3 linked regions of the Struthio camelus genome follow. The protein of the gene in region 1 interacts with the protein of each later gene in a biochemical or structural test. Links are inferred from orthologs where the notes say so. Each region holds a gene or a part of one and is shown on either strand. Other genes may lie near its edges.

Region 1 (7,681 bases):
GTAAAATATGTCAAAGCAAGGATTTTAAAAATAGTATTTCAAATTAATTCCATCACAACAATGCATAAAAACTATAAAACAGGACAAAGGTCATAGGAAATGGAAGTACCAAGAGATCTTCACACAATCTTCCAAAAGAAACAATGGAGGAGGACTTAATTCCTTTTTAACAATTATTAGGGAGTAAGTATCATAAAACTGCCTTCCCCACACTCTTACAATTTTCTTCATGAACAAATGTTTAATTTGAACCTGGACAAAAAAAGATCTTCAGATGCTTTAAGTTAAATTTTGCATCCAGGAGTTTTCACTGGAATCAATGAATTGCCTGTGTGAGAAAGACGGCAAATACATGAAAGCTAATTAGGAATACAGGTTTAGATCTCCCGATATGGTTATATACAAAGTCCATTTATGAGCAGAAAACACTGATATAAACACTACTGACTTCAGGCTCACGGCGTTTCAGTTATACAAGTGTTATTTGCATTTTATATATGAGGAAAATGAGACACAGCTAATGACTTAGCCCAGTGACCCACAGGAAGTCAGTGACACAACCAGGAATAGAACTTAGACCTCTCAGCAGCTAGTCCCATGCTTTAACCACAAGACTAGCCACCCCCTTCCCATCTTATATTAGCACAACTCTAAATCTTAATTGCATCACCTACTAATTTAAGATGTCTACATGTATACAATTTTGTAGAAAACTGAATTTCTAAGGCTGAATAAGTTACATTCATAAATATTTCTTAATTTAATCACCCAACAAATTAGGATAAAATGGTTTTAAATGAGAATCAACATAAAAGTATCAGAAATTTCTGGATGCTTTAAAGTGACTTCTTGAGAAATGAATATCTTATATATTAACAAATCTGATGGATAACAGTATATGCTTGAGCCCTTCATTCCTTTATGTCTTTTTGTCTTCATTCTGTGTACGTGAGATGCAGTCTGGACCTATCTGATCGGAACGGGACTAGACTATGAAGATAACGGCCTATCACAGAAGAACCAGACAGCTCTAGAAAGTTATCCTCTTCAAGAGGAAAAGAAATCAGAGAAGCCAAGAGTTGGGGAAAGACCAAAGATAAAGAATAAACCATTATAATTAGAGTTAGGCAGGCTGCTGTGATCTTGGCTTTATAGAATTTAAAGCAGTCATGAATTTGGATTCTGAGTTCTTTTTATCTAAGACTCATAGTTCAAGAAAAGTAGGATCACTTTTAACTAAAAAGGTTCCTGTTTTGATCCGCTCTAAAGTTATCTATGACAAACCTGCATTACGCCTAGTCCTATCACCTTTGCTGGATACAAGGCACAGCATGCAAGATGAAACATAACAATACTGTAGTGCAAACTGCAAAGAGAGCCCGGAATCGTACCAAGGGATAGTCCCCTACTATCACTTAAAGAATGCGTCTTACACTATAGACTTTGCCACATATATCTATATAAAACGCCACTGATGGCAATTTAAACCTCTCATTTCCTTCAAATAAAAGTGTATGTATGGGCAACATGAAAATTGGAGTGAGGCAGAATATTATGAAATCCCTTTTACAAACATATCTCCCCAACAATCAAAAAACTGCCAACAGACTGACATGCTAATAAAAAGTTCTTGCTACTAATAAACGAACAGCAGATATTAATTCAGAAATTACATAACCCAAGAGAAAGTAGACACTGTAACTGTAAAAAAGGCAGCAGCACAAGTTTCTTAGCATACTTAAACTCCTTTGCCTCAAAACAATGCAATTTCCACAACTAGAACTGTTCTTTTAACTGCTAGACTTATAGTTACACTGCTAGCATATGAGATTGCCCTCCAGATGTTAAAAAGTTTGGCTAGATGATTTTTCATTTTTTGCAGAATACAGAGATGGGATACACTGCGTGATTTGTGATTTCAAACTTCTGTAATGCACCTAGAGACTTAAAGCATAGCCACAATGGAAGCATCAAAATAATTAAGTAAAAGTTGTAACTAGTATATTTGCAGAGAGAGGAAGAGGTATAAATCTCTCATTTCTGTGTCCTTACAAGATTTCTATCCTTTTCAAGCCAATCGTAGAAATCACAGTATCATAAGATCTCTTTATTACAGTCATTGTTCTAACCTAAAATCAAGCCATAAACCCTACCTGGCGTAGCTTAGAACCTGTTGCACAACAGTTCTTTCATTGAAATAGAAAAGTAAAATAAAAATGTATATATAAGAGAGGCAATTAGAGCCAGACTAACACCCTTATCCATTCTGAGCCTCCACAAAGAACTCTTACTCATTTCAGTGGGACTACTCTTGCCATATGATTCACTTTAATCTGCTTAAGATTTTCTTAATGATTAAAAAGAATTCATACTCAGCACAGAATTAAGATTTCCCTTTCAGAAGCATCAAACTCTTGAAAAGAGACTTACCACAAAAACTGAAAGAATGATTAATAATAATATAAAATGCAGTTCTCTTACATGAAAAGAAATCTAAAGCTTCTATATGCACTACAAAAACAAAGTATAACTGATCTCTTTGTAAAGACAAGTTATCCTCTAATTTTAAAAGTAGAACTGATGCTGAGAGCCCTTTCCTGCTTCTCTTTGAACTTAGGGGAGCATTGCCCATGGTTCAGAAAGGCCTGAGCCTAATGTTTCGTTCTTATTTAAGAATGTTTAAATAGCCCACTAAAACTTAGGAATTCACTGAGGTAGTAGAGGAGAAAGACCCCGCAACCCAAAACTGTGCAGTCACATGATACAAACAAAAGGTGTACAAGAAATTGATGAAGTAATTTATCATGACCATTTCATTAATGTAAAAAGAAATTCTAGAATTAATTATAGAATATATTTGTAGCCTACTTGATTTATGTTTTAATATAAAATGATTGGCTTTCCACGTGCTGCAAGTGAAAAACACTTGATAAAGCAAGGCAGATTAATTCAAATTATAAATAAGGCCTATTTTTAAGGGAGAGCGCAAGTACCAAAGAAAGTTCATGGATTCTTCATCTCTTGATTCTTCAAACCAAGATTAGCTGCCTTTCTAACTGATACATTTAATAGTATTAACCAAATACTATGTGAAAATCTATGTTCTGCGTTAGGCAGGAAATCAGACTAAGTAATTTCTTTTCCCTTCTTGCCCCAATCTGTTAAAATACATATTTACAAAACCTAAATAATTTGAACATAATAATCTAAAATATTTCACAAGTTCTGTCCAAGGGATGAACTTGTTAAAATAATATAATGTATATAACAGAAACAAAATTATATAATGTTTGTAATACTTTTCCTGAAAGCTCTGTTTGGGCGGCTTCTCTGAAAAGTCAGATGTGTCCCTTATTTCACCTATGCCATTTAATTAGAAATCTAAAGTTTGCTTTGTTTTTCTGCTTTGCTTATGAACTTTTATTAAAAGTTTAAACTCAAAGCTATGAGTATATACAGCCACAATCAGATGTGCAATAATGCCTCCCAATTTCTGGAGCGCTCCCAGTTTCCTGGAGCACGTTAAAGTCTAGAGTTTCAGAAGGGTTCTTCTATCCTTCAGACACTTAAATGAAATGGCGAGATCCTCCAGTGTTCTTTGTCCGGCTGTTTGCTATGAGAGCAGCGTTTTTTTCTGTTTGCAACAGAGCTAATTCTGAACTCTCCGTGGAGATATCCAGCTAAGATCCTTCTTATTTTAATATTCTACTGAAACTTTACATGAGATACTGCTGTAAAATGGCTAGAAATATTATTAATTTCTATATTTCAACCTCTTTTATTGCTATATTATTTTTACCTACATTTGCCTATTTATTCACCCATGGCATCTTGAGCCAATTCTAAGGTTTTGTTTTACTTGTTTTCAGTACCTGGCCCCCAATACAGAATCAGGGGATTACTGAATAGGTATTACCGCAGTATTTTAAAAAGAAAGTCCAAAAGAAAAACAAAAACCTTACAAACAAAAGATTTCCACATTTCTACAGCAAAAAGTTCAGATGGAGAGAAAAGCGTAAATGAAAAAAGTTCCTTGATATGTCAAGGCAGAAGTTAACACCCACCTCAAGCCTATACAAATAGATAATTCTCATTAAAAATTAACACAAGGCTTCAAGCCTCTACAGACAGAAAGACTATTCTCATAAACAAAAAGCTGTAGGCCATGTTAGTATCTATATGTAGACCAGATATTTTGAGGCATTCAACCCTAATCTATAAATTGCCTTCAGTGTACAAATAATATAGCAAATGTAGACTCCCTTTCAAAATGCCTGATGACTAAGAACCGTAATGAGGCAAACTTAGGATCCTCTGAATCCTCTAACGATGTCCAAGAGATCAAGGGTTTTTAAAGATAAACTGTTGTATCCTGGGGCATCTTGACTTACAGGACGACTCTCTAAACGCTGCTGATCTTGTGACTTTTTTTTTTTTCCACATCTAACTTCTTTTTAAAAGAGTCTGAGGGTGAAACAGGAGGAGGTGACATACTTGTTTGAACTTGCTCTCTCTCGAGACCTACTGAGAAGAGCCTGTACCACATCTCTCTGCATTCCTCCGTGGGGGGGGGGGGGGGGATGACAACCTGTAGCCAAAAAAAAGTGTGTGGGGGGGGGAAGGAATTTCATTTACCTCTGTTACTGCTAAGCCTGTTTTCAGAAAAGCCTGTATTCCTGTCAGTGGGACACAGACTGACGCGAGGAGACAGGACCAACGGCACGCAGCGCAGAGAGGAGTTAGCTGGAGGAGAATGGAAACGCAAAAGAGAAAGCAGTTAGCAGCCGGAAAAACTGAATTTTCAGTTACACAGCGGAGGAGATTAGAGAGAGCAGAGATCAAATTCCAGATCCACTGCAGGGGCCGCGGTCTGCCCTCAGGTACGCACTTGTGATCCCGCTGAGCGGGCACGAGCCCGCAGGGCACCGGCTCCAGTGCATGGACGCGGGCTAAAGGCGAGAGGAAGGAGAGGCGGCGGCAGCACCTCCTCCTCCTCCTCCTCCTCAGCGACCCGCTCCCTCTGCGCGTCCTCGCCTTCCCCCGTCCCTCAGCGCCGCGCCGCCCCTCCCCCCGCCAGACCCCGCCAACGGTCGCGGCGCGAGCGCCAGCGCCAGCGCCAGCCCCGCGCAGCACAGCCCCGCGCAGCGCGGCGCCCCGAGCGCGCGACGGCGGGCGGCGGCTCGCCCCTCGGCCCGGGCCGCGTGGGCCGGCGGGGTAGGCGGCGCCCCGCCGGGGGGGAGGCGGCGCCTGGTCGGTAGGACGGGCCGAGCGGGGGAGTTTATCCCACTGGAAGGGAACAGTTTCTCCCGCTGAGACTTGACAGCGCCAGGTCGGTGCGGGCTGCGGCGGACCTTCCCGCTGAGGTGAGGGGCGGCGGGGCCGGGCCGGGCCGGGCGGGGCGGCGGGGTGCGCGGCGTCCCGGCGGGCAGCCGGGGCGGGGGCCGTGCCCCGGCGCGGGCGATGCGGCCGGCCGGCCGGCGGGCTCTCGCCGAGGCGGAGGGGGCGAAGCGGCGGGTTGGCGGCGCGGCGGGGACCCTCGCTGGGGCGGCAGGTGGGCAGCGCCCGCCGGGCACCTCCGCGGGGCGGGCGGCCGCCCTCTCCCCCCCCCCCCGCCTCCCCGCCCGCCGAGGCGGCAGCCGGGCCGGCACCGTGTCCATGGTGCTGTATAGGCGGCGGGGCTGGGGCTGGGGCTGGGGCTGGGGCTGGCTGGGGGGGCAGCGGCGGTCGTTTGGTGGCGTGAGGAGCGTGCGGAGCGGCCAGAGGGGCGACGCCTGCCCCGCGGAGCTGGCGGCAGCCGTGCCCGTTGGCCGCCGGGGATGGAGCGGTGCTCACCTGCCTGCTGCCCTCATGAATGAAGAGACTTCTTCTTCTTCTTCCTTTCCCCCCCACCCCGCCCCGCCCCGCCCCGATTTCTCAACCGCAGAAAATCGGGGAGCCTTTCTGAGCCCGCAGCAGCCGAGATGTGGTGTTGAAATGTGTTAGGTCTTGACGGCGCGCCTCGGGTTTGCGGGAGCGTTTGGTAATCTTCCTGGTGTCATTTCTCTCCAGGGTGTTCTACAACTCAGAGCGCAAGTTCCTGCCGTGTTGTAACTCTGTGGCACTGTGTACACACGACAATACAATGCTGAGTTAACAGTGATGTATTTATTAATAATGTAGTGACGTAAGACCAACATTGAGCCTGATGAAAAGCTCAGGAAAGTGTCAGTTTCTCCATGTGCGGTGGACTCTAAATTTAGGTTCCCTTAAATCAGAAGGATCAATCATAACTGTCCTTGAAATAATTGAGGGTCTGGGCTGGCGTTGTCTTTGCGACCTACTGCCCCATCTCTAAAAGAGCTTTTGCCATGGAACATGGCTGTGACGGTCCATTTAATAGTGAGTATCCAAAAATAAAAAATATTCTTCTGGTAGCAATTAGTCCACAATTTAATCAGTAATTTAACTTTTAAAAGGTTACTATGATTTGTTACTAGTTAACTAAAAATTCCCTGTGTACACCAAGTAACTATGTATGACATAAGGTGTTCAGTGCTGTCCTTTGTAAACACGTTTCGTGTGTTGTGCGCTCATTGATATCAGAATTTGCTGTGTGAAGTGGTGTTTGGCATTCTTATTCTCCCTGGCTGTCACTAAAAGTCACTGCAAACATTGCTTAGAGATTTAATTATCAGATTATAAAAAATCACTCATAGCAGTGTGTTAAGGCTTGTGGTACAACATAGACATAGACTTGTCAAGGGGAGAGAGAGTAGGAAAAATAGTTGACATGAATTTTTACATGGTAACCAGTCAGAATATATTTTAAAGGTATTTCTACGCAGGCAGCTTTTGAATTTGAATATTCTGGGGCATCAGTTTTGTAAAATACCTCATTAACTGTTAGGGATTCACAGATCATATCTCTGTAAACTGCCTTAAGATAGTATGCGCTTCTTAGCGGTGCCTCATTGTCAAATTACTGGATATTACAATTTATTAAATGTCAATGTTCAATGAAACGTCGTTACAGTATGGTCAGTGCATAAAGAATTCTCCTCCTCTGATATAAGTTTATATTTCGTATTATAAAAATCACAAAAAATGAAAGTGGCAAAACGTTAGAATTAAGTTATGGCTTTTAATTTTCCTTATGAGACTGATAAAAACACCCACTATGAACATTTCTTCTAAATCTTACTCTTTTCCATCAAGTTTTGGAAATAGCCATACATTTCTAAATCAATAAATAACTGAAGCTAGGCCTCAGTTTATATGTCGATATAAATGTTTACTTTTAGCAATGGCTAATAAAGTGAATTTTACAAAAAGTTATATTGTAAAAACAGGAAAAAGAATAAAAGTAGAAAGAAAACTATTATGTACAAGGCTGGACTAAAATTCATAATGAAAAGTGTACTTAATGATATTTTCATCTTGATTTCTGAGGCCGCCTCCTAATTTTGACCCTTAATCTGTTCAAAATTGCATTGACTATATTTACCAGTCTCTTTTTTTTTTCCCTAGTCCAATTGCGAATCATTAGTTGTGAGTATTTGATACTCAGAATCTGAGTTTCTTTTACTAGTTTTTGTCGCAAGGTTTATTCCTATATTCTGTTCTGGCATACATTAAAACAGTTTGCAGCACAGCTACTCAAGAGAAATTAAAATACAATTATAAATTCTCCGTGGTAGATCCC
Region 2 (7,765 bases), on another chromosome or scaffold:
AAGATGGTGTCAGCAGCAGCCGAAAAAGAAGCATTAAATTTTGGGGTGCTGAAGTCAGTGATTACTCTTAAACATCCTCGACGCTACAGAGAGCATGTGTGAACCAGTACACGTACCTGTGGGAAACGTGTGGTTTGGCAGTCCTGAAATAATCCAGGAAGCGCCTTGAAAAACCTGGTGTGCTGTGGTTTCTAAAGAAGCCCTACAGGAGGGCCATAAGGGCCATGTGCACCCCAGGACAAGATGGTCCTAAGCAGCTGCGCACAAGTAGAGGCACTGAGGTAAATCATCACAGAAAAGATGATGTGCAAGCAAATACAGTGCAGTGAAGTTTGAAAAGCTACCGCCTTGGACTAGAGCATTAGACTTCAAGCTCAGCTGGTGGCTGCCGAGCTCCATGCCTTGAGCGGGCTGAAAGCAGAGACCGGCTGGCAGCGGCAGGGTGAGAGGCTGGGCCGCCAGGAAGGAGGAACGCAGGAGGGAGGTTGGGGACGGGTCTGGCACGCAGCTGTGGGACTGAACACCAGGTTGTGGCCTGTTGGGACAGAGACCAAGGACAGACGTCAGAGGCTGTGGCTGAGCGAGGTCGGACAGCTGGGCCGGAGCCGCCGAGGGAGAACAGCCCCCTTGCTGCCCGGGCAGCTGCAGGCCTGACGCCGTTCCCCGCCGCCTACGGTGATGACTTTTCTCTCGCTTCGTACTGCGCATGGGGGGCTGTCATCCAGACACGCTGCTGCTGCTCTGGCAGACGATGTCTCCGAGAGGAGCGGCTGTCTGCCGCCGGCACCGCCGTTAACCCGTGCCCCTGCGGCGCCCTTTCTGTCCTGCCGGCCGGAAGGCGGCGGTGCGCGGCCGAGCTGGGCGACAGGCCCCCGGGCCGAGGGGGGCCGCGGCCGGGGGGGGGAGGAGAGGTCTCCAGGGCAACCCAGAACCGTTATTTACAAGGCCGCGCGGGCCCGGCCCCGCACGCACCGGCAGGCGGCCCGGAGCCCGGCTCTGCCGGAAACGGTCCGGCCCTACCTGCTTTGTGGCTTGAGGTAACGTCATTCTACATTTCGCTTTATCAATCCACGGCGTCGGTTTGGGTAAAGAGGGGACGCGCTAGGGCGGAGGGAGCCGCGGCCCCCATCGCGACATGGCGCCCGCCGCGACATGGCGGCGGGGCGGGACCCGGGCCAAGGGGGCGGGGGCGGGGCCCGGGCGCAGGCGCCTGCGCGGGGGCGGCGCTCTCGCGAGAGCGGCCGTTCGCCGCCTGGCAGCCGGGGCGCCGCGCCGCTGAGGGGAGCCGCGCCGCGGCCGCCGGTAACCAGCCCCCCCGCCCCGTCGGCGGCCGCGGGGCCCGGCCAGGCGCTGCGGGACGGACAGGCGCTAACGGCCGCCGTGGTCCAGGCGGCCGGGTCGGCGGCGGTGCGCGCGCAGCGGGGGGCGGGGCGAGGCGAGGCGAGGCGAGGCGGCGGGGGGCGGTTTTGCCCCGTTTTCCTTGGCTGAGCGCCCGCGTTTGCGGCGTTGCGTGCGGCTTGGGCACGGGGAGCGGCGGGGCGGGGCTGAGGTAGGGGCGCCGGCGTCCGTGCGCGGGCACGGGTATACCTCTGCGTGCGTGTGCGTGCATGTACGCGTGTGGTGTGTGCGCGTAGACGGAGGGGGGCCGCTGGCTGGCCGTTACGTGATTCGGCAGCGAGCCGCCAGGAGCGTTTGTCGGCGGGGTGCGAGGATCTCGGCGGTGCGTTTCGGCCAGGCTTTTCGGCGGGGAGCGGGATGGCGGGCCGGGGCCGGCTGCGGGCGGCCGGTCGCGCCGGGCCGGGGCCGGGGCCGGGCCTGGGCCTGGGCCTTCCCCTGCGGCGCCGCGCAGAGCCGTTTGCGTTTTGTACTAGCTGCGCTTTCCGAGGGCTGCAGAAGCGGTAACGGTAATAACCGCCGTCACGTAGCTCAAAAGCGGTGAGGGCTCCCCGCGCGCGGCGGGGGTCTGGAAGCGCCGGGGGCGCGGTGCCCGGGAGGGGGCCGGGGGCTGGAGCCCGGGCTCCTGGGGAGGGCGGGGGGCTGCGTTTGTGGCTGGGGCTGAGGCGAAGAGCTTTCACTGCAGCGTTAAATAAGCTTGCAGTTACGGGAGGGGGGAAAAAAAGCTGATAGTCGTTTGAAGAAAATAGCGCTCGCGAGTCTGTAAGAGCGCGCGTTGTGTCGATGGGTGTGCTGCCGAGCGCGGTCACGCTCCTCGGCGCCTTGCGCTCCCCGCGGAGCCGGGCGTTGCTACTTACTTGTTTCCCAAAGGGCTTTAAGCGTAAAAGGCTGAGAGAGAGCTGTGTTTTCCTGTAAGATCTGTGTTTAGATAAGCGTGTCTCTCCTGCTCAGGTACCTGCTTTAGTATTGCATATAACTATGGCACGGTGATTTCAGACATTCATTTTCAGCTATTCTGTGGTGTCACTTAAGTGCCGCTGCTTGCAAAACATAGTCTGAGCTCTAAAGTCCACAGAGTAGGAGCATGGCCAGGCTTCTTGCCCTTGCTGCGCTAGCGGCTTGTGGCTCTTCCAGCAGCCTCCTCCTGTGACACCTCCACCCTAGAGCTGCTCTGTGCCCTGGCCCGGCTGCTCCAGTGTCAGAGCAGATTGAAAACGCAGTCGCGTGGGTTCAGGTTTGTGGCGCCCTTCCAAAAGAGCGCGGCCGGAGAAGAGCTACTTGAATTCTAGAAAATACGTTACCTGCAACTTGCTTTTATTCCTTCAGGTGCTATTTTGAATTCTCTTATTTACAGCTGTTGGAGCTCATTTTTCTGCAGGTGATTTCTGGCTTAAAAATATATGATAGTGCACAGTTTCTTTTTTTGGAGTAAAACAAACCCCCAGCAGAAGATCCGTGCAGATGCTTGCTGGTGGTCACGTTGATGCTTTACTGTATAAAATGCATGTTATTTTTAGGTATAAATGGAAATTTCCGAGATTGACTTCTTGTACTTAAAGTACTAACTCGGTTGACCCAAACTCCCACATACCTAATTTGGGATAGCTTCTTCAGAGGAGCAACTGTTTTCTGGTGGGGTAAAACAGAAACGAAGAGGGATTTCAGTTCAAACAAGGCAGCTGGTTTAAAACCAGGTCACTGAGACCTTTGCAGCAGCCGGGTACTGGCAACTGAAAGAAATCATTCAACGTTAATAAATAGAGCCTGTCAGGTATGAATTTTGTGCAGTTGCAGAAGTTTTTCCCCAGTAGAGGCTTAGGAAGATCATCTTTTCAAGGTTATTCAACATCCATTTGAAATACAAAGACCACGAGTCTTTATAGGCAACAGTTGAGATGATTGTGCTGAGAGTGAAGAGCTGGTAAAACCGGTTTTCTGCAGGGCTATTAGCGGATTGTGTAGGCAAGGAAGGCAAGTTTGTTGTCCCCTCCTTCTCTCTGCTCCCCAGCCACATGATATTTAATTAAAATCTAAAATATGTTTTTTTTTCAGTTGAGCTTCTGAGCTACAAAATAAAAGTAAGAGAAGATGAGTATAAGGAGTAACAGCTTAGGGATGAGGGCAGACAGCCTCTCTGTAAACTAAAGATTATACAAACTGTTAGGAGGAATAATACTGCAACCAAAAGCTTTTAGCTGAAGAGTGTTTGCAATACCAGCCCTCCGGTGCAGTTTTGGAGTATTAATGGAAATGGCCAAAAACTTTTCTATGAGGACAGGCAATTATTTGGCAATTGGGAAAAAGAGTGCATCTTCCCAGCTCATTTTAGGCCTTCCTGTTGCTTGTATAACTATACTTTTTTTTTAAACTGACTTACATGCATACGTTTATGTATACGTGTGCTTTCCTTATTTGCACGTGAAAGCATGGAAGCAAGAGTAGGCGTAGTAAAAATGAAGTTACGTGTGATGCTGTCATGATCACTCCGGGTATTAACTTCATTCTGAATGTTTTATTATCGCAAGAATTTGTGGAATTTGACACGTTCAGTGCTGGAGTTTAAAACACAAAGGCTCTCATTGTTTAGGGTTTTGTACGGGCAGTGGCAGGGGATTTAATTTGGCTACTGTGCAGGCTTGCAGCCCTTTCCCCCCTGCTGCTGGCCGCCCAGGAGGAGGTAGGCTGCGCTGCCTGCCGCCCGTGCGAGGGGCGCGTTGCCTCGCTGCTTCCTGCGTGAGCAACTGCGGGCTTGTCGCCAAAACGTCTGGTTTTGCGGTTTCCACTGACAGTGGGATGACAAGAGGCATTTGGTGTTTTTAAAAAAATGGGGGAGGCCGGGCCCGAGGTGGCGCGGAGGCTCCCGGCGGGGGGCGGGCTGGGAGCATGGCTGCACCTGCGGAAACCCCTGCTCCCGACAGCGCGGCCTGCTTTGTTTCCTGCTTTTTAATGCTGTTTTTTTAGTGGGGTGTTCACTTGCTTTAGTCATTCTTAGGGAATTTACCCGTGCTTTTGCCCGGGTTGAATCGCTCGCTGCATCGATGAGCGAATATTGGGAGCGGGATCTGTAGTGCGATGGGAAAGAGTTTTGGGGAGGAAAAAAAAAAGTTGCCTATGACTATTTAAAAGTGGTGGGAGTCAGAGCTACTGTGCAATGGAAAGTTGCAAATGAAAGCAGCCTCCTCAACAGGGCGCCGCTGGCCACTCCTCCGTTTGGAGGATAAGTGCAACTTCAGCAGATCCGGGTGGGGGAGGCGTGTCCCTCCGTGGAATAACGTACCAACGGGGTGATACTGCAGTGGGGGTGGGAAAAGCTGGATGACATGGTATTTGCCAGAAAGGGTGAATTAAGGTTACATATTGCAACTCGGTATCTCACTGCAGCAGTAACTGTGGTTTGTTCCTATTGATCATAAGTGTATTGATTTCACTTCCTTCAAAGTATGGGACCTGAATATATCTTAGCCTGCGAGTGCTATGAAATTTGTGATAATGGGGAAACAATGAAATAGGTTGCTACGCCACTTGTCTTTGCTGTTTTTTGTTAAAAGGTTGCAGAAATTGAAATTAGCAATGAATCGGCTCTCTTGACATCCTGAAATGTAGTTTTATGTCTGATTAAAAACCAGCCTGTAAGAACAGCCATATTGCAAGAGTTGTCATCTTCCATCCTCACAGGCAGTACCGAATTATCTCTGAATTCATTTTGGCGAGAGATTCGTGCAACTAGAACAAACAAATTAAAAAATCTTGCAGCAAACCATAATATCCTCAGAGTATTAGAGGAGCATATAGAAGTTTCCCAAGTTCTACCGTGTCAGTATGAAATTAGGATAAAATTTAAAGGATGTTGTAAAGGATAAGCTTATCTCTTACTGAAAATCACTGGCAAGATGAAGAATGTGAAACCTTATGTAACTGAACCTGGTACCAGACTGCACTGTGAAAATAGTAGAATAAAGCTAGCCTTGATAGCACAGAATGGAGAATGGCATGTTTTGGACTTCAATACCCTGAATAAGTCGGGGCGGAATTGATGCAAGTTTAAGAACTAAATTCAAGTTCCTTTCTCTTGCAGCTGGAATGTGCTCTGTGCTTCCTAGAAGGTGAGCTGTGATGGCGAGAGTAGGGTCAGGGTCAAGGTGCATGGTGGTGCTTGGTGCGGCTCCTGCGCTGTGGTGCGTGGCCAGGGCGAGACTGGGACCTGGGGACCTCAGTGTGGTGGCACCAGGGAGCTGCGGCCCCGCAGCTGCCCCCTCCCAGGCTGCGCTGGTGCCCGGCCCGTGCAAGGTTTGCTGTTAGAGGAGCCGCTGCATTTTCTGCCTGCGTCCGTTCAGGGGCCACTGCTGACCCTCTGCACTTTGCTGACCCGGGCAAAACGTGCAGCTCGAGTCTGGTGGGTCCTGGCTGCAGAAGGGTTTTTTGGATTGCGGTTTATATGGTCATGGAGCTTGGAAATTGCAAACTAAGTAACTGCTCAGTAACGCCAGCTCTGTGGTTTTGTTGTCATGTTCAAAATACTCTTTTGACTTCCAGTGTGTGTGTGGGGGGGAGAATATTTGTAAAATATTTATACTGGCATGTGTGCACTTTTTAACTAATTAATTCTGCTGTGAATTTTCATAGATGTCGTTACTGAAGATTTATTTGACTTTTTAAACAAAATGCTTACTATTGGTGCTTCATGTATTCTATGAAACTTAACAGGAGGATTGAAACTCTTAAGTGACAAAACGCCCACAGTTTAGGAAAAAGTGCTACTGCTTCCTATTTTTATTTTAAAAAAAAATCTGTATTTAGCTTTTTTGCTTGACTTGCAAAATCCTTATTTGTGTAACTCTTGTAGAAATTTAATATCCGAGTTCCTTTTACTTGAGGATATGGTGAAGCTACGTTACTGCAGGCTGTGTTTGTCCACAACAAACGTAACAAGTGACTCTTGTAAGTTTGGGCCCTGGATGCTTAGTGAAGAGTTTGAACTGTGTATTAACATGGGGATTTTCAGCTGATGAAACTGAATTACATTTTTTTCATTTATGAGAGATTTTAAGGGAGCCAGTTCATTTGCCTGCAGGTTAAACCCGGGTGACTGAAGCAGTTCTTGCCCTCTAGTACTTGCCAGGCCGTTCTCCCCTGGCTGCGGCAGGTCTGCTGAATGTGTCCTGGATCAGCTCGCGGTGGCTAGAGTTTGCTGGCTAAGCACAAATGTCAGAGGAGTGTGAACAGCAGGGGAGGATTGCTTAAGCTCCTGTGGTTGAGTCTGTTGACAAATAGCTGTTGGGTTTCCTGTGATTGCATTAATTTCACGTGCCAAGGCTTTTGAGAGACTGTTGTCACTGCTGGTGATTTTCTTAATTTTTATTTATATATAGAAAACTTACTGGTATCAGTTCTTAGGTTTTCTTGTTCACCTTTATAGTAAATGTATGGATGGATGTTGATTTTTTTTTTTTCATATGATAACCACTTCTTCCATTAAAGAGGAAGGGAAACTGTTAAGGAAAATGCTTTTCATCGTGTTTTAGAAACACTTCAAGAATGAGTTCACCACAAGATAGAAGTAGAAATTCCTGCAGCAGTGAGCCTCTGGCAAAGTGCCTTCAAGCTAAGAAGGACTTGGAAACAGCTATTTCTGGAATTGTCAAAGCTGAACAACAGATTAAAGACAACTGGAGAGAGGTAATTTAAATTAATAAAATATGTACATAAAATCAACGTGACTTCAATGACAGTTCTAGTTATTCCAAAGTATTCTGTATAATACGATGCTGGACTGAAATTTTCCTAGAGACAGCAAGCATCTTGCTACGTAACTTGGTCATGCTCTTCAGTACCGCTAGCTTAGGCATGCAGAATTTACTGAAGTGTTGGTCTGTATTTTTCTCCTACTTTAGAAAATACTTGGAAATAGCTCTTGGTTTAAACATTAGGATAGAGAGATGCTGCAAGTAAGTGTTCTCTGATACTCCTTTAGAGGTTGCCTTGGAACTGGTACTAACTTGTGAGTCACGTGGCTTAGTGGGTGCCGGTGGTTAGTGTTTGGAACGCTTGAGAAATAGATTGGTACAAAAATACAACTTCTCTGTGAGAAATACTGTTTTGTAATGGGCACAGCATATTGTTGTTCATACTGTTTGACAGACGTTCTAGACATGCTCCGTGTTACCTTGCAGGTGAAAGCAAAGATTCACAGCCACATAAGTCGCCACCTGGAGTGCCTGCGCAGTCGCGAGGTTTGGCTGTTTGAGCAGGTAGATCTCATTCAGCAGCTCAAAGAGGAGGCCTTGCAGCAGCAAGCTCAGCAGCTCTATTGGGTAAGATCTGGTTGTAAACTGATTTAGCTGCACTGACATTTTCAAATAAACTTCAGTCT
Region 3 (7,026 bases), on another chromosome or scaffold:
AGGCAAGCCTAAACACTGATATCTATCTTCAGTAGAAGCGGCCTATTTTGGTTCTGCAGAAGCATTTACACCCCAGCTTAACTATTGGAAAAGGACAGTGTCGGGCTGGTATATTTGATTACTGACATGAAGTCTTTTCCAGTAAGTCACTAACCTGAGTCAGGTCAAGTTTGATAGAGGTTCCTGGTAACTTACGTTAAACAAATTAATTATCAGAACGGATAAAGCAATATTATTATCCACCTGCTGTCACCTGGCAAAATTTTTTAACATGATGTTGGAGGCAGCATGGCTATCCTTGCGTTTTCTAAGCAAACCACTTTGGAAATATCAACAGAGCAGTTGCTTTGTTTGGAGTAGATGTATTCCTGGAGAAAGGATGAGCCAAAGAATTTTAGTCATATTTACATTGCAACTTTTGTTGTGGCATTGACCGCAAGAAAACTGATCCCCAAATTCTAATGCAGAGAAAGCCTCAGAATATCAGCTGACACCTTATTTTATGCTCTTTGGGTGCAATTATCCTATTCTCTTTGTCACTATGGGATGAAATGCGCTGTCATATCTGATGTTTTGCATGTTAAAAAATTCAATGTCAATCTTTGTTTCTTCCTCTGCTCCCCCCATAAAATCAGGATGCCTTTCTAGAGGTGTTGTATGCATCTAGTATGTTCCTGCTTTTTGTCAGTCTCTTGGGATACTTTTTATTCATTTTCAAGCAGAGGGTTGCAGGATCTGTGTTCATTTTCATCAAGGAGCGAATTGTTCACCACAAGGAGCTACAGAAGAGGGAATGCTGAGCAGCAGAAAAGCTGGTTTTTTTTTTTAACTACGGTAAACCATGTCTGTGACACTGAATTCTCTGCTTATACATTTGTAAGTAGGACTATTATAAAATATTTATAGGTGTGGCATAAGGATTAGCTAATGAATGTCTCCAGTGTTCTCAACAAAGCGGTAAAGGTAGTATGTAATGCATATGCAACATAAGTTTTGTTCAGAAAGCTTTATAGTATGGCAAAACACATGATACTCATGACTATTATAATATATAGAACCATTGTCTACAGTTGAGATGTTTTCTTCTTTTTAGATTACCCTAAATACCAAAATATTTTAGGGAGGGGAAAATCCTGTCATGAACTCATGTTGTTCTAGATTTAAAAAACAACCAACCAGCCCAAATCCTGACATTCTTTATCTCTGCACTTTAAGTTCATAGAAAAGGAAAGAGGTGCATAAATGAGGAGCTGCTCAGGCTGGCAGCCTGTGGGCTAGAAGCGGTGGGTAGCACCCGCTCCTGCACCTCTGGGGTGAGAGATGGGGCCTGGCCTTTACTGGCAGTGGTAGTTGCTGGGACACAGGGAAGAGCAGCAGAGCATGAACTCCCCCGTGCTTATGCAAAGAGTTGCGCTAGTGCTCCCTCTCAGCCCTTTCCTGCTTTACAAGATATGTGGGAGCCATTACCTTGACCGCTGACAATAATACAGTTTAGTGCCCTTTTTTTGCTTTACTAAATGAGCAATATAAGCGTGCCCAATGAATCCTTCCCTAGTGGTGCACTTTGCAAGCCTAGGCGAGAGGGGGGAAGATCTTTTGTGCAAGGTAAAGATGTGTTTTTCCAAAAACTCAGAACTCACCCAAAAGAAAATTGATTTTCCTCTAGAAAATGGTGAGGCAATTGGTATGCTACAACTGGTGCTTACTGTGCTAGCTGAAAGAATTTGGTTGCTACCTTGCCTCCTTATTTAGTTTGCTTGCCTTGCAATGGAAAGGCCTGAAATCTGTTTGGGGACTGGCTTTCTTCAGGCTGTGTTTAGGACTGTGGAATCCACATCTCAAACACAAGCTTCTGTTACAACAGCATGTTTAACAGCAGCGGTACTGGAGAAAGGTATATTTACTTGGCAAAAGCTAAGCATATGCCAGATTTCAGTTTTCATCTCTCATTTACGGGGCAGTTTAAAACAGGGTAAGTTTTCCACTTTTCTCCTTTTTTTTTTTAAGTAGCTGTATCACTTTGACTCGACATTTATAATTTAACTTTAGAAAACATTGACTGCAAGACTTCTGTCTTAAAGATGAATGTTTCTGACCTACAGGCAACTTTCTTACCTAAAAGTAAGGTAAGTCCCTCACACAAGTGTCAGGGAGAACGCTCTGTGGGAGTAAATATGGCATCAAAATATCATTTCCATTTCCAGAGAGGAGACTGCTGTCTCTGCTCTAGGCTAAGTTGCTGTTTTCAGTGTTTCGTGATGCTAACAATGTTTTTGCTGCTTGGTAGCAAAGCACAGAAAAGACATCTGAATGGAAACCTTGAGAATATACAGCCCTCCATTCGTAGGGGTCCATATCAAAAGATTTTGTGTGTGTGTGTGTGTGTAATATCCCTGTAAGTTCTTATCCTTTGAAAGTTATAAGCTGTGTGATAAAAACAGGAATGTAACAAAACACAGCTAACTTCCTTATAAAAGTTAACCACACTAAAAATAGTTCTGGTAGTGACCTCAGGGTGTGTGCGTCAAGCAATGATAGTGGCTGCATCTTCACAGTGGAAAAACGGGCTGCTGAGGTCGAGGAAGATTAGAGTACATTCCTGTGGAGAGCTTGCTAGGTACATTCAGGATTTTTGTCAGCTTCACCAGCTAAAATGGGTGTGTTCCTGCAACTGTCTTATTTTAAAATAGCTGGGATGCTGGAACAGTCCCCAAAAGAGTTTGCCTGCCTGCTTTCATTGTGTGTAACACCCTCAGACAGCAGATCCAGCTTACTGTACTGCTTCTACATGTTGCAAAACTAGAAAATTCCAACTACAATATGATCAATATCTTCATGCTTCTATTGAAGCGGTGATAAATTGCAATCCTAGCTTTTGCTTTACTTCTTATGCCCTTTTCTAAGTTGCGTTGCTTTGCTCTTTGCAAACTAGTGAATCACCAGAAACTAATGCCACCTGTGCGTGGTTTTCATTTTCCAGGTGATGATCCTGTAAAATCAATTTTACGGGAAGACTCTATGACTTTCTCGTATTCATAGGCGGGAAATGGCATTTCCTGAGAGCGTGGATGCAGGTGACCATGCTCGGTGCATGGTTTGACGGAGGTGATGGATCGATTCTGGACTTGTGCCAGCCACCAGGAGATGTCCTGCTGGCATAGACACCTCCCTTGGTTTGCTGGACTGCAATTACAAAGCAAACTCTGTGGTAAATGGCAGCGTGATAGAATTTGAGCAGATACTGCTTTTGTTCTTGCGAGGGAGGGAAACTTCATCAGAAATGCCCATGAAATTCCAGTCTTATCTTCGGGAATGCTTGTGGAATTCAGACGAGTAGTAAGAAAACGTCCTGGGCACCTTTTCAGGCTTTCTACTAGCGTCACTCAGTGCAAAGGATAGTTTCTCTTGCTTTAGCTTAATTTTAAAGTTCTTAAAACTCGGCTAGGATTTTAAATGAGTATTGCATGGTGTGCTTATGATGTTGCTTCCTTTGTTTGCCTATCACCATATAGCCTCGCCAGCTCCATAAGAAACCTGTCTGTGAAGTGTATTTTAATATTTAGATCTAACAGTGATTAGAATATACTAATGCCCAATGGGTATATGTGTCATTTTTTAGCAGCTGCCGAGCTTTCTCCCTGCTGCTCCAATTAACACATTCAGCACACACTTGTCGGTGAGTGGGCTGTGTGTATGGGTTAAACCACTTTGCTATTTATTCATGCAGCACATGTGATGCCAAAAATGGATTAGCGAGTTTCCTGTTCTTAGAACAAACGAACTCAAACGAGGTCCTGAGCTTGTGCCCGTTTAAATGCTAGGATAGGATTTAACTGGCAATCGGAAACCTATTTTGCCTCGAGATGTGGTTCAGTCCATTGACTAACATGAATCCCCGCCTCCCAGCCCTCTTCAAATGATGGAGACATAGGATAGGGAGATTTCAGTGCTGGGTTTCCTCTTGCTGGCAGGCAGGCAGATCTCTTCAACTTTCTTCTATTTTGTTTAATAACTGCTTGAGATGTAGAGATTCACTTCTCACTACAATATTTTCCTCCTTTATCTATTTTCATGTTGAAATATTCCAGCTAGTAGATTTGATAAAGCCCCCCCCATCCTTTTTAAAGGGAAAAAGAATATGCTTTCTATTCATAGCTGAGATAAGGAAGGGTTTTTTTTTTTTTTCATGGTGCCGGAGTGGCTGGTCAAAAGGTGTAGCTCTGCCTGCGTGTTTGCTGTTAATTTGTGCTCGGACAGCTGTCTGTGAAGCCAAGGGCGAAGGGGCTGCGAGTTGGTGCCGCTGCCGAGGAGATGGAGCGCTTCTTGGGCTTTGTCAAGCAGATAAGAAGATCGAGAAGAAGAAAAGGCAAAAAGTACCGGCCAGAGGAGGATTACCATGAGGGTTATGAGGATGTTTATTATTATGCCTCGGAGCATTTTCGAAGTAAGTATTTTGCATAACCTCATTTACCTTTGGCTGTGAGAAATATTATGCTTTTAGGATTATTAAAAAAAAAAAAAAAAAAAAAGAACGGCAAACCCAAACAGTATTTCTCACACGGTGGCATCTGAGCCTGGTGCAAGTATTAAAACATTACCTTCCCATTGTAGATTTATCTGTCTGTGACTGCCAGCAAGGAATAAAAAACAGTTGAAGTGGCACAGTCGCTCTCTCAAAGTAAGCGCGGTCTGTAGACCTGTTTAATATTTCAGGTGCAGTTAACTGAGTCTTACTGTTGCAAACCCTTTGGTAAAATCCTTTGTTTTGAAAACGGGTGCAATGGGCCCTTGTCGAATGCCTTCGTAAAGCCGCGCTGTGGATATTTCTAAAGCAATAGAAAGGCAGTGATCGCTCATTCATAAGTTCAAGTTGACAATTGCTGTTGGTTGCTGAGTGCGAGTCGGTCCCTTGAGCCCACGCTGTGACCGGCTCTTTTCAGCAGAAGGTAACTCAAGTGGGCTGCTTTGTCGCTGCACGTTCAGGATCACTTATACAGAATTAAGTAGCTGTTTTTGTTTGTTTGCAGTCAGATGACTGCAGCAGTTTGCTATAAACCTAAATAAACTGCCTGTTCTTAAGTCCCCTTGCAAAATGTGTATGGTAAATTGCAGCACACTAAGATTTATTCCCTGTACCTGTCAGGCTTATGAGCGCATGGTCAGCCTTTGACTTCTCCCCATGGGTTGGAAATGCCCAGAAATGCCTGCAGGGACAATGTGAGGGAAGCTACACTCAGATGTTGCTGAGTTTATTATGCAGCTTTGTCAGTGCAAGGTAGCGACAGTAGAATCAGTCATGCACAAAAATTATCTTTTTAAAAGGTTTCTGCTGTTGTGACCAGTGATTTGGGAGCTTTGCCTTTTGTTCAGCAGCTGAAGTTTGATGTACTTTTTGTTGTATGTACCATTGGCTGTCAGTTTCTTTTTGTATCATTGGGCTTCACTTCCATTTTGCTGAAATAAATCATGAAAACATTACATTTGTTCTAAGACAATAAATGTGATTGTGCTTTAGAGCAACAGAGTACTGCCATTATGTGGAAAATTATGAAGCAAGAGATTTTCTTTTGGTTTTCTCCAAGTGCACCATGCTTGCCTTATCTCCAGAAGTAAACTAATATAGAGAGTTTGGTTGTTTACGGGGACTCTCCACAATAAAATCCTTGCTGTTTTCTGTTTTTAAGAAAATTTACAATGCTGATCATCTTAGAATTTATCAATGCTATTCAGACTGAGATCCCTTAAGAAAAGGTCTATTCTGGGGAGCGATACTGTTTTAGCAGATTATGTATTACCATGGAATATGCTATTACAAGAACTGAAAAATTTAAATCTACTTAGCACTGAAGAATGTGAAAATGTTTCAAGTTAATGGAAGAACGCAACTTCTTTTGCTTTAGTACGCAAATCAAATGAATATGTCAAAACAGTCTGTCAGAATATTTCACTAGCTGATTGTTCTTGAAGGTCTTTTAAATAAGAAAGCAAAAACCCTCCAAAACCTGTCATATGTAATAAGGATTTCTTGAATGTTGATTAATAAATTATTGCTCTTGACTTAATGTGAGGGACTAAGATGGAGCCAAATGTCTAATATTTGTTTTAATTTTTATTTTACTCATAAAATAAAAGAATATTTTTTCTCTCACATTTGAGCCTGTGGAGATTCTGAGTATTTTAGAGTGGAAGAATCTGTGTCAAATTTTGTAACTGACCTTGAATGTTGCTTATATTAGTGATCATAGTCCCCAGACTAAATAATCCAAATAACGTCCAGCCCTATAGAGTTGGACACAAGTAGTTTGCAACTTCTGGCAGTTACTTAAATGTGTCACAGGAGATTGAGCCCTAGAGATTTATTTGTTCATCAATCATCAGGAAGAGAAGAGGCTTTTATAGAGCTACCACATCAAATACAATGGCTCCTCAAATGCCTTTTCTGCCTGTGCTGTGTGTGGCGCTGTTTTGGTTGGATAGGGGCAGTACCTACTTAAATTGATGTACGCAATGTCAAGAGATGTTGCTGGTGCTCCTGTAAATGCTATCGTTAAGCTGCGTTTCATGTAGTTGGAACAATGAAGCGATTCGTGTTTAATTTAACGATGATCTGGCATTATGCTGCTTACAGTTCAAATTTAGAGTAATCGCAGACTTTCTAAAAGCTATTCCTTTTGCATTCATGTGTTTAGAAGTGTGCATGCTTGAGAATAGGATCCACTTTATTGGTATGATTTTCAGAATATCAGAACTAATGAAATCAGAGACTTGTTCACTCAGCTGAACAGAACAGGAGCTTTTTTTTTTTTTAGGATGTTTCCTTTCCCTATAGTGTTGTCCATCCCTCCTCAAGGGTCGTCTTGTATGAGTTACATATCCAGTTAGCTACTGCATTTGAAGATTGTCTGAGCCAATCACTTTATGGGCTTGTTATTCTCTCTTCCCCCCTTTTATAATATTGCCTAGAACGGAGACAGAATTAATGTCAGTATAGAAGCTACATTAGAACAATCAGAGGATCAAACAGAA

What was found.
Region 2: the proteins of PPARG (region 1) and NCOA4 form a complex in vitro, tested with the Homo sapiens proteins (2 studies listed by BioGRID, with this or other methods). The link is inferred for Struthio camelus from reciprocal best matches to the Homo sapiens genes PPARG and NCOA4.
Region 3: the proteins of PPARG (region 1) and GRIP1 form a complex in vitro, tested with the Homo sapiens proteins (2 studies listed by BioGRID). The link is inferred for Struthio camelus from reciprocal best matches to the Homo sapiens genes PPARG and GRIP1.

What each region holds. Positions count from the first base shown.
Region 1 is NC_090955.1:20,125,105-20,132,785, reverse strand, and holds the start of PPARG (peroxisome proliferator-activated receptor gamma), read left to right. Parts: upstream 1-4,666; 5' UTR 4,667-4,753; coding exon 4,754-4,880; intron 4,881-4,888; exon of another isoform or gene 4,889-5,055; intron 5,056-5,217; exon of another isoform or gene 5,218-5,363; intron 5,364-6,048; exon of another isoform or gene 6,049-6,347; coding exon of another isoform or gene 6,348-6,378; intron 6,379-7,681. UniProt on the Homo sapiens protein: Nuclear receptor that binds peroxisome proliferators such as hypolipidemic drugs and fatty acids.
Region 2 is NC_090948.1:33,201,585-33,209,349, reverse strand, and holds the start of NCOA4 (nuclear receptor coactivator 4), read left to right. Parts: upstream 1-4,751; 5' UTR 4,752-5,475; coding exon 5,476-5,498; intron 5,499-6,917; coding exon 6,918-7,071; intron 7,072-7,565; coding exon 7,566-7,706; intron 7,707-7,765. UniProt on the Homo sapiens protein: Cargo receptor for the autophagic turnover of the iron-binding ferritin complex, playing a central role in iron homeostasis. Acts as an adapter for delivery of ferritin to lysosomes and autophagic degradation of ferritin, a process named ferritinophagy.
Region 3 is NC_090942.1:39,757,819-39,764,844, reverse strand, and holds the start of GRIP1 (glutamate receptor-interacting protein 1), read left to right. Parts: upstream 1-3,963; 5' UTR 3,964-4,311; coding exon 4,312-4,444; intron 4,445-7,026. UniProt on the Homo sapiens protein: May play a role as a localized scaffold for the assembly of a multiprotein signaling complex and as mediator of the trafficking of its binding partners at specific subcellular location in neurons.